Linked DNA regions of Kluyveromyces lactis. The protein of the gene in region 1 purifies or fractionates together with the protein of each later gene. This does not show direct contact. Links are inferred from orthologs where the notes say so. Each region holds a gene or a part of one and is shown in the gene's direction. Other genes may lie near its edges.

Region 1 (3,761 bases):
GTTCGGAGGAGTTCATATTGGTCCAGATAGATTCAAGCATATAAATTCAACAACTAGAGAAGTAATATTGAAGGGGCATTTCACAGAAGCTGCTACCTCTACTTCAAGTAAGAAGAGGTCAAAATAGTTCACATTTATAGAATGGAGTATTGTTACCGGAATTTGATCTACTCTATTTATTATATAAGTCGGCGAAAATAATATACAAATACTAGTGTCTCATTTAGCATCCTGCTATGAAGTTTAATTTCTATTCCTTTTTGACTTCTTCTTATTCCTCTCAGTATTACCATTACCATTGGATTTCTTCTGTTTCTTAGTCTGTGTTTCGGCTTCCCATAGCTTTTCTAAATCTGTCGTCGACACATCGTCCTCGTCCTTTTCTTCAAAACTTCTTTTCTTATCATTAGAACTCCCATCTGAACCGGGCGTAGCTCGTCCGAGTTTATTTCCGAATATTCTTCTTCCTGCATTTACACTAGTCCGTAGTGTGCTTGTGCTGAGATCGTTTGTATCGATCTTCGAATCCTCATCATTCAGTGACTTGATAGCAGAGAAACCTACGTTCTGTACCACTTTTGATTTATTAGCAAGTTTTGTCAAGAGTTTTACATTGTCACCTATCCTCCATTCTGACGAGTCCACCAATTTCTTTATTGTCTCCTCGGTCTGTTTAACTTTGTCTGCTTGTTCCGCATGCTTCATGAACTTCATGTTCATCACTCTATTGGATAACTTGCCTGTGACTTCATGCCGTTTCTGTCCACTCATTGTTACCTTTTCGTCTTAGTGCCCCTATTACCGCTTTCAAATAGGCTTCACTATATCATTGACACTGGAATACATTTTTAATGTATCATTAAAGTCCTAATACAGCTCATCTCATCAATCTTCTGCTGAATGGTTTGATCTTACATATTAGAATTTCATGAAAAGTTTGTTTACGATTGTCCGGAAAATGAAAGATAGCAAGAAGATAGAAATATCCATGGTTAAACCCCGTCGGACGTATTTCAGAATGCAAGGATCTGCACTATAAAAGGAACATTGTACAAAAATAAATGAAATAAAAAGGTCATTGGTAAAAGTATGAAAACAGCTATAATGAAGTACTCATACTAAGTTTCAAGTGCTGACATAAACGACAATCCACCCAAAAACCGACATGTTTCTGTTCTCTCTTTCTTTACTTCCGTGCTAAAGCTGTATATGTTTTCCTTTCTTTTTCATTCAGCATACAGGATTTCGAAAAATTTAAGAGAAAAAATTGAGCGATGAGATGAGATGAGATGAGATGAGTTCAAGCAGGAAGTGCAGACGGATTATCAGTCACTTGTAAGGACTTTGCATTATAATCAGTTGTTCAATTTCAATTAGTTGGAAGGAATCAGGTCAGACGAGCTTTATAAGGGTTTAGTTACGGATGAAGTCTGATTTTAAGTTTTCCAATCTTTTGGGAACTGTTTATAGGCAAGGTAACGTCTTGTTCTCTCAAGATGGTTCCAAGTTACTTTCACCGGTAGGTAATAGGGTGTCGGTATTTGATTTGATCAACAATACTGCTTTTACCTTCGAATATGAACATAGGAAGAACGTTGCCGTTGTAGATATCAACAAGCAAGGTACGTTACTTCTTTCCATTGATGTCGATGGTCGTGGTATCTTGGCGAACTTTAAGACAAGAAACGTATTGCATCATTTCAACTTCAAAGAAAAGGTTTATGACTTGAAGTTTTCACCTGATGGCAAGTTATTTGCGCTGGCTTGTGGGAGATTCTTACAAATATGGAGGACACCCGAGACCACTGAGGATAGACAGTTTGCACCTTTTGTTCGTTATAGAATCCATGCCGGCCACTTTTCTGATATAACTTCCTTGACATGGTCAAAAGATTCAAGATTTATTATATCCACATCCAAGGACCTAACGGCAAGGATATGGTCAGTTAACTCGGAGGAGAAAAATCTTGCATCGACGACTTTTGCAGGACATAGAGATAACGTTATCGGAGCATATTTCAGCGATGACCAGGAAAAGATATACACGGTCAGTAAAGATGGTGCCTTATTCCAATGGGAATACACCAAAAAGCCTGGTGAAGGGGAAGACAATGATGAAGATGAGGAAGATGTAGATTTGTCAAAATATAGTTGGAGAATCACAAAGAAGAATTTTTTCCATGCAAACAGAGCAAAGGTGAAGTGTTCTGCATTCCATGCTGCATCCAACATATTAACAGTCGGTTTCTCAAACGGTGAATTCCGACTCTATGAACTGCCAGAATTCATCATGATTCAACAACTTTCAATGGGTCAAAATGCAGTTAATACGGTTGCCATCAACAGTTCTGGTGAATGGTTGGCTTTCGGTTCTAGTAAACTTGGGCAATTGATAGTGTACGAATGGCAATCAGAGTCATATATTCTAAAACAACAAGGTCATTTCGATACGTTAAATGGATTGTGTTACTCCCCAGATGGATCGAAGATTGTCACAGCAAGTCACGAAGGTAAGATCAAGATTTGGGATGTCGCGTCAGGTTTCTGTTTGGCAACTTTTGATGAACATGCAGGTGGTGTAAGTGCAGTAGAATTTGCTAAAAAAGGTCAAGTTTTGTTTTCAGCTTCTTTGGATGGTACCGTGAAAGCATGGGACTTGATCAGATATCGTAATTTCAGAACGTTCACTGCGACCGAAAGAATACAGTTCAACTCATTAGCAGTTGATCCAAGCGGAGAAGTTGTATGTGCCGGGTCGGAAGATAGCTTTGACATTTTTGTTTGGTCAGTACAGACTGGTCAGTTAGTGGATACACTATCTGGCCATGAAGGTCCTATCTCCTGTTTATCTTTCAGTAATGAGAATGGAGTTTTGGCATCCGCTTCATGGGATAAAACAATTAGAGTGTGGTCTCTCTTCGGTAGAAGTCAACAGGTAGAGCCTTTTGAAGTATTTTCTGATGTTTTATCTATTTCTATGAAACCGGATGGTCAACAAATAGCTGCAAGTACTCTAGCGGGGCAAATATTATTCTTTGATGTTGCTGAGGGCAAACAGGTGGGAAATATTGACGGCAAAAGGGATATAATCTCGGGTAGACATTTGGAAGATCGGTTCACATCAGAAAGTTCAGCAAGATCTAAATATTTTACCACCATTCATTACAGTTTCGATGGTCTCTCTTTGGTTGCAGCCGGTAACAATAATTCCATATGTCTTTATGACATTCCAAACGAAGTACTGCTAAGAAGATTTACCGTATCCAAAAACATGATGTTAAACGGCACCATGGAGTTTTTAAACTCAAGTAGAATGACAGAAGCAGGATCTTTGGATCTCATTGATCAAGATGCAGAAAATTCAGACTTGGAAGATCGCGTAGATAACAGCCTTCCTGGTTCGAATAGAGGAGGTGACTTATCGACAAGAAGAGTCAGACCGGCGATCAGAGTGACGTCTATAAGATTCTCTCCTACTGCTAATGCATTTGCCGCCGGTTCAACAGAAGGTTTACTTGTATATTCCGTTGATAATACTATTCTTTTTGATCCTTTCGATCTTGACGTCGATGTGACTCCACAGAATGTTATCCAAAGCTTAGATGACAAGGAATATCTCAATGCCATACTAATGGCTTTCCGTCTAAATGAGGGCTATCTAATCCACAGAGTATATGAGAATATTCCAATAAAGGATATTCCATTGATAGCTCACGAGTTGCCAGTGGTTTACGTATCAAGAATTCTAAAATTCATTGGTG
Region 2 (3,567 bases), on another chromosome or scaffold:
TATCTCGACTATTGGAACTGCATTGTTAGTAGTTTTCTGTGGGTTGCTAAAACAATATTCACCAGGGTCATTATTGCAACCAGAAGCCACATCGATGTGGCCCAATTCATTCAAGGAGTTTTGTCTTTCCTTAGGGTTATTGAGTGCATGCTGGGGAGGTCACGCAGTCTTTCCCAACTTAAAGAGTGATATGAGGCATCCGGAGAAGTTTACTCGTTGTTTGAAGACCACTTATAGCATCACCATTGTTACTGATATCGGAATTGCTGTCGTTGGATTTTTAATGTTCGGTAATCTTGTTATGAATGAAGTGACAAGAAGTGTGTTATTGACTCCAGGATACCCGCCTTTTGTTTATGGCCTAATTTCAACTCTTCTTTCACTGATTCCACTTGCCAAAACACCACTTAATGCAAGACCGATTGTCTCCATCTTTGATTCAATGTTTAACGTAGTGCACATCGATGAAACTAAACCAGCATCGAAGGTTTTTTTCGCAAAGGCAACCAGAATATTTAACAGAATCATGGTGAATGTTATGTTCGTGATTATTGCTATTTTATTCCCTGAATTTGACAAAATAATTGCATTCTTGGGTGCTGCACTTTGTTTCATGATTTGTTTCATTCTGCCATGTTTGTTCTACAAAAGAATTTGCTACAAAACCATTAAATCTTGGGAATTGATAGCGTGTAATATTACGATATTAATTAGTGCAGTATTATCCACTCTTGGAGTATACGCCTCCTTCACCTCATGAATTACCTACAAATGCTGTTGAATTTGCCAGCACCTCATTCTTGTATATGCATCTACGTGTCTTTATGCAAAATTTTAGCACCCAAACTAAGGGAATCACACTTCATATAATGACTTTTCACCCATATGTACTTCTGTCTAGTATTCATCACCCAACCAATGCCTCACAACTGTGTCTATTATCTCTCTTCTTACCCGCATTGGCGACAGTTCCCATCATTTTTTTCTTTTTCAAATTTTTGGATACCTGAAAAATTGATGAAAACTCATCTCATCGCATCACTCAGCATGTACGAAATATGCGTCTATAGTAGCAGCTTGATCGTATCGATACATCCACTACAGCTACACCAGTAAATAGGTAACGTTTCACTGACCCACACATAACACAACATGAGTCAGTTTTTGGAAATTTTGAAAACTAATCCTGTTGGACTTCTTTCCCAGGATGCTCTGGAGTCCAAGGAACCACTATCGGCAGTGAAGACTTACTTTGACGAAGTCATCAATCTGAATAAAAACAATGGAAATTCAAAGACAACATTAGATGAGATAGTGGTTGATGGGCTAGATGCTAACCAGGTATGGTGGCAGTCAAAAATCATTTTAGATAATGTTCAAGGTGATATCATGGAAAAAATCGCCGAACTGAAGGTTGATAATGAGAATGATATGAGCGAGGAAAGCAGCGGAGACGAAGATGATGCCTCTAATGTTGAAAATTCCAATGAAATGTCTGCAGACGAAGCTCCAGTTTCTGAAGAGTCTGCTATTGAAGAGGAGGAGGAAGAAGCAGAAAATGAAGAGCTCGTTTTAGATGAAGAACAACAGTTCTCAGAACCAGAACCTTTAGAATTACATGAGAAGGAAGAAGATAAATTGGAAAACGAAAGTGATTCGGAACCTGATGATCAATTTGTAGAAGCACAAGAAAGTCCACAAGCGATCGAAGACAAGTTTGGTGTAAACGATCAATTTTTCAATCTAGATGAATTCAATAGACAAACACTTGAGGCTGAGAATAGAAGCCAAGATGCAGATGAAGAAGATGAGGATGACGAAGAAGTTGATTATTTCGCAGATGTTCCATCGGAGGAAGATGAAGAAGCTCTATATTACGACGATTTCTTTGATAAGCCATCTAATAAAAAATCTTCCCAGGACAGGCGGCCAGGACCTTCAAAGAAAGCAGAGGCCGAAGAGGATGAATCCTTTGACGAAAGCGAGTATGATGATGCAATGGAGGAAGCTAAGTTAGATCTTTTTGCTGACGAAGACGATGATTTTCAGGGATCAGATGAAGAAACTGCTGAACAACCATTATCTACCTTTGAACGTCAACAACTTGAGCTAAAAAGACAAATAGAATCCCTCGAAAAGGAAGCTGTTGCTGAGAAGAAATGGGCGTTAAAAGGTGAAGTAAAAGCTCGCGATAGGCCAGAAGATGCCTTGTTAACGGAAGATCTTGAGTTCGAAAGAACTGCCAAACCTGTGCCAGTTATAACAGCTGAGGTAACAGAAACTCTCGAGAATATGATCCGTAGAAGGATCAAGGAAGAAGATTTTAACGATCTACAGAGGAGGGTTATCAGCGATATTTCAGGCTACAATAATAAACCAAGATTCGAACTAAGTGATGTAAAGTCATCAAAATCACTAGCTGAAATTTATGAAGATGATTTCAAAGGTGTTACCGAGGATACTGAAATATCAGAAGAATTACAGAAAAGTCACGATGAAATTTCAGAGCTATATAAAGATTTGGTTTACAAACTAGATGCATTATCGTCAGCCCACTTCATACCTAAGCCGATAAAGAAAGATCTTGAAGTAAGAGTGCAAACCGCCGCTATTTCTATGGAAGATGCACAACCACTAACAATGTCAAGTGGTTCCACATTAGCTCCTCAGGAAATCTACAAAGTTGGTAAATCAGAGAACTCTAATGAAATAACTTTGAAGAATGGTGTGGTGATGTCCAGAGATGAACTGTCCAGAGAGGATAAAAACAGACTCCGTAGAGCTGCTAAGAGAAAGAGATCGAAGCTATCTGCGAAAAGAGCCGAACAACCTAGAAAGAAGAGTAAGACGGATGATGTTCTTAATACCTTGACTAAATCCAAGAACATAACCGTTATCGATAAAAAGGGTGCCAAAACTGATGTTAAGGGTAATATAAAGAAGGATAATGCATCTGGTAACATCAATTTCAAGTTATAGACACTGTTACAGTAAGTATATATTACTATAATTAATGCAATTGCATTGAAATGAAGGTGGTAAATAAGAGAATTCTTAATTATCTTTTTATCCCCCAAACTATTTATGTTCTTGAGATTTATGGAATAATGATCTTACACCTTTTACAACAGAAGGACTGTAATGCTTGACAAGAAGGCTATTTTCCCATATAGTTGCTGCTTCTGCATTACTTCTACTTGGTAAGTCTGTGTCGATGCGGAACTCCCCATTTCCAATTCTATCGTCTGTAGAGTATAAACCCAGTACTTCTGGATATTTGGTAGTTAGTTTATCCAAAAACTTCAGCAGTGCAATTGATGTTTTTTCTGGAGTGTGCAGCAAAGCCATGTAAATTCTCTTTGTGAACGCAGCAGCTCTTTGTTTAGTGCCAGATTTTGATCTGAAAAAGACATGATCAAGGGCTTTCAACAATAACTCTGCTTTTGTTGATACGTTAACTGATGGTTTGACGAGTTCATTATTCAAGGGGTCGGCCAACCTTAGCGATTTGTGTGAGAATTCAATATCAGCATCGAACGATAGATACGGTAGTACTGTGAATAGCGC
Region 3 (3,041 bases), on another chromosome or scaffold:
CGGCATTTTTTTCTATCTAATATTTACGTTTACGTTTACAGTTAGTTTAGTTTTTGAAATGAATCGCACAAGGCGATTCATATTAGCAAGAAGCAAGACTCAAACACACAAACTCACATCAAGTCTATACATGGGATGACCTTCCCAAAAAGAATCAGAATTTTATAAAAAGTGTCCCAAATCATTCAAAGAATGTAACAAGATTATAAGGCTTGCGAGGGCACCACATTCTCCATTAAAACCATGAACAGAAAATAATTCCCATCCACGAAAGAATTGTAAGAATTAAAAAAGCGCAAATAGTATCATCGTCTTCTTTTAAAACTTGGAAGGTCATGTGGATTTAAGCCCAAAAAGAGTAATACAAGTAAAGCCTATCAAAGTTACATCTCTTCTACATCACCAATTGTGTCTTGTAATTTCTTGGTTCATAAATCTTTCTCTTATATATGATGAAATTCGGGCTAGATCATTTTATACTAATCGTTGAAATTTGTATGCTGTTAGGGCTCATAGGCTGCCGTGAACTGGAGGATACGCACCCCCTGAAGGAACGAGCATCAGTGTGCGTATTCAAGGTGATGCAGGCAAGACTTGACTGACAACAGAATGGTTTACCACTCTAAATTATATATTTAATGTCGCCATTGATAGCTAGTTTATTAGGAAATGCGATCACGTGATAAGAATAATTTCTTTTCAATTGTCTTCTACATTGCAAGAATCTCTGAAAAATTTGGAATCAAGAGATGAGATGAGATGAGATGAGATGAGATGAAGTCGAATAGGAAACGTTAAGGTAGGATATTCTCACCGTTATAATCTGTTTGATTACTCGCAATAAATAATTGGAATTCACATATAAAAGTTTCCCAAGGATTCAGACAGCGATTAACCAAGATGCTCTCGAAGGAAGAGATTAAGCAAGTTTGGAAGTCTATTAGCACCGGCAATGATAGAAAACATTACAACTCGTTGGTGAACCTAATCCATGGGTACAATGAACTTCTAAAGGAAAACGAATTGTTGCACAATTTGGAAGATGATTACCGTTATATGACCATTGCTTTGAGTCAGATTTTCATCAAACTTTTTGAGCGTGGTCAATTGATGCCTCATCTTGCATCCAATGCCAATGAAAAGAAATTCTTTGAATGGTGTAAGAAACTATATTTAAATTATAAGGTTAAGTTATTGGCTATCATTACATCTTTGCATGAAGTTAACTCGTTGAGTTTAGATTGTTTGGACTCATATATGAAAATGCTTCACCATGAATCGATATATTGGGCTTCGAAACCAAATAGTCCTTTCTTTCCAAATAAGACTTTAAGATCGTTACTAGTGGCTCTTTTCCATTGTAACTTTGAAGGTGATATCGGTTTCAAAGATGGTCAGAGCGAGAATCCCGTGTTTAATCTATTTGTGGAAGCCTATTATAAGAAGAATTTCGATATTCAATTCTACACACAATCAGAACTGATATCGTTGTTACCAGAACTTGATGGCCAAACATCTGACGAAATTTTGATGTCTAAATGGTTGGCTTTATGCAACAACGATGTTCAGGGATCACCAGACTTGGAAATATTCGTATCTGTGCCCCCACAAGCCATCGAGAATGATGCTAAGTTTAAATCCAACCTCGAAACAAATTGGTTGCACTGTCTAAATTTAGCCAACTTATCCAGTAGCCAATATAAAACTGTGCTTTTAGTGCTACACAAGAGAATTATAGTATGGTTCCATCAACCAACAAAGCTTATGGATTTCCTTACCGACTCTTACAACCAAGGTGGTATCGTTTCAATCCTTTCATTAAATGGTTTGTTTGAACTTATGAAAAAATACAACCTAGAATATCCAAATTTCTACTCAAAACTATATCAGCTTCTAACTCCAGAAGTAATGCACGTTAAGTACAGATCAAGATTTTTCAGATTAGTGGACACCTTTCTATCTTCTACACATTTATCCGCACAACTGGTAGCGTCATTCATCAAACGTTTGGCACGTTTATCCGTATCGGCACCACCAGGTGCTATTGTTTCTATAATACCATTCGTGTACAATCTAATCAGAAAGCATCCTACATGTATGATTCTATTACACGATCCAGAATACATCGACTGCGATTCAAAGAAAAGGCAAGAATATCTAGATCCATTCAACAATGAAGAAACCAATCCAGAACTTACAAATGCTCTTTCCTCCTCAGTATGGGAGCTAGAAACGCTAATGAATCACTACCATCCAAACGTAGCCACTTTAGCGAAGATTTTCCAACAACCTTTCCAAAAGTTAAGCTACAACATCGAAGATTTCTTAGATTGGTCTTACGATTCACTTTTGCAAGCAGAAACCAATAGAAAGCTGAAGATCCAACCTGCTCTTGAATTCGAAAGGTTTGAAACAATTTTCGAATCAGGTTCTGATTCAGCATTCCTACCCTTCATAAAATGGTAAATACATAATTTCAAGTAGAAAACTTAAGTAGTTCAATTCCAAATTGAGTACTTTCTTTCACTTTCGCAAATCTCTTCACATTACATCTCATCACATCGCCGTAATATTGAAACATCGAGATGAAAAAAATCAACAAGTCAACATCAAGAAGAGAAAGACTCACATCAGAAAAAACTTTAAAATGGGCTCCGTTTATCGGTCTTGAGGACTTAAAGGCACATACCATACCAGTTGGCTGCTTTTTTACCACTACTATTGAATAAATGACTGAGGAAGTGAAAGCCTGTAATCCAGAGAAAGCCTTAGAGCTGAAGAATGAAGGTAACAAGTTCGTGAAGGAGAAACTGTACGCAAAGGCAGCTGAGTATTATACAAAAGCCATCGAGCATGATCCCGAGAATACGATCCTATATTCAAACCGTGCGTTCACCAACCTAAAGTTGGATAACTTCCAAAGTTCTTTAGACGATGCTAAACGTGCAATTGAATTGGATAATAACAATTTGAAAGCCTATCACCGCAGAGCTATGTCTTACATTGGGCTACTAGAGTTTAGAAAGGCAAGGAAGGACTTG

Evidence for each region.
Region 2: the proteins of PWP2 (region 1) and MPP10 purify together in Saccharomyces cerevisiae (affinity purification with mass spectrometry, with the first as the bait; 7 studies listed by BioGRID). This does not show direct contact. The link is inferred for Kluyveromyces lactis from reciprocal best matches to the Saccharomyces cerevisiae genes PWP2 and MPP10.
Region 3: the proteins of PWP2 (region 1) and NOC4 purify together in Saccharomyces cerevisiae (affinity purification with mass spectrometry; 10 studies listed by BioGRID, with this or other methods). This does not show direct contact. The link is inferred for Kluyveromyces lactis from reciprocal best matches to the Saccharomyces cerevisiae genes PWP2 and NOC4.

What each region holds. Positions count from the first base shown.
Region 1 is NC_006039.1:783,113-786,873, forward strand, and holds the start of PWP2 (snoRNA-binding rRNA-processing protein PWP2), read left to right. Parts: upstream 1-1,423; coding exon 1,424-3,761. Other genes in the region: YIH1 (Yih1p), read left to right, coding at 1-127; MPP6 (Mpp6p), read right to left, coding at 244-771. UniProt on the Saccharomyces cerevisiae protein: Required for bud-site selection and cell separation. Also involved in nucleolar processing of pre-18S ribosomal RNA.
Region 2 is NC_006040.1:821,711-825,277, reverse strand, and holds MPP10 (rRNA-processing protein MPP10), read left to right. Parts: upstream 1-1,152; coding exon 1,153-2,979; downstream 2,980-3,567. Other genes in the region: AVT1 (Avt1p), read left to right, coding at 1-760; NOC3 (Noc3p), read right to left, coding at 3,079-3,567. UniProt on the Saccharomyces cerevisiae protein: Involved in nucleolar processing of pre-18S ribosomal RNA. Required for the early cleavages at sites A0, A1 and A2 during 18S ribosomal pre-RNA processing.
Region 3 is NC_006038.1:953,219-956,259, forward strand, and holds NOC4 (ribosome biosynthesis protein NOC4), read left to right. Parts: upstream 1-900; coding exon 901-2,466; downstream 2,467-3,041. Other genes in the region: PPT1 (protein serine/threonine phosphatase), read left to right, coding at 2,730-3,041. UniProt on the Saccharomyces cerevisiae protein: Involved in nucleolar processing of pre-18S ribosomal RNA and ribosome assembly. Has a role in the nuclear export of 40S pre-ribosomal subunit to the cytoplasm.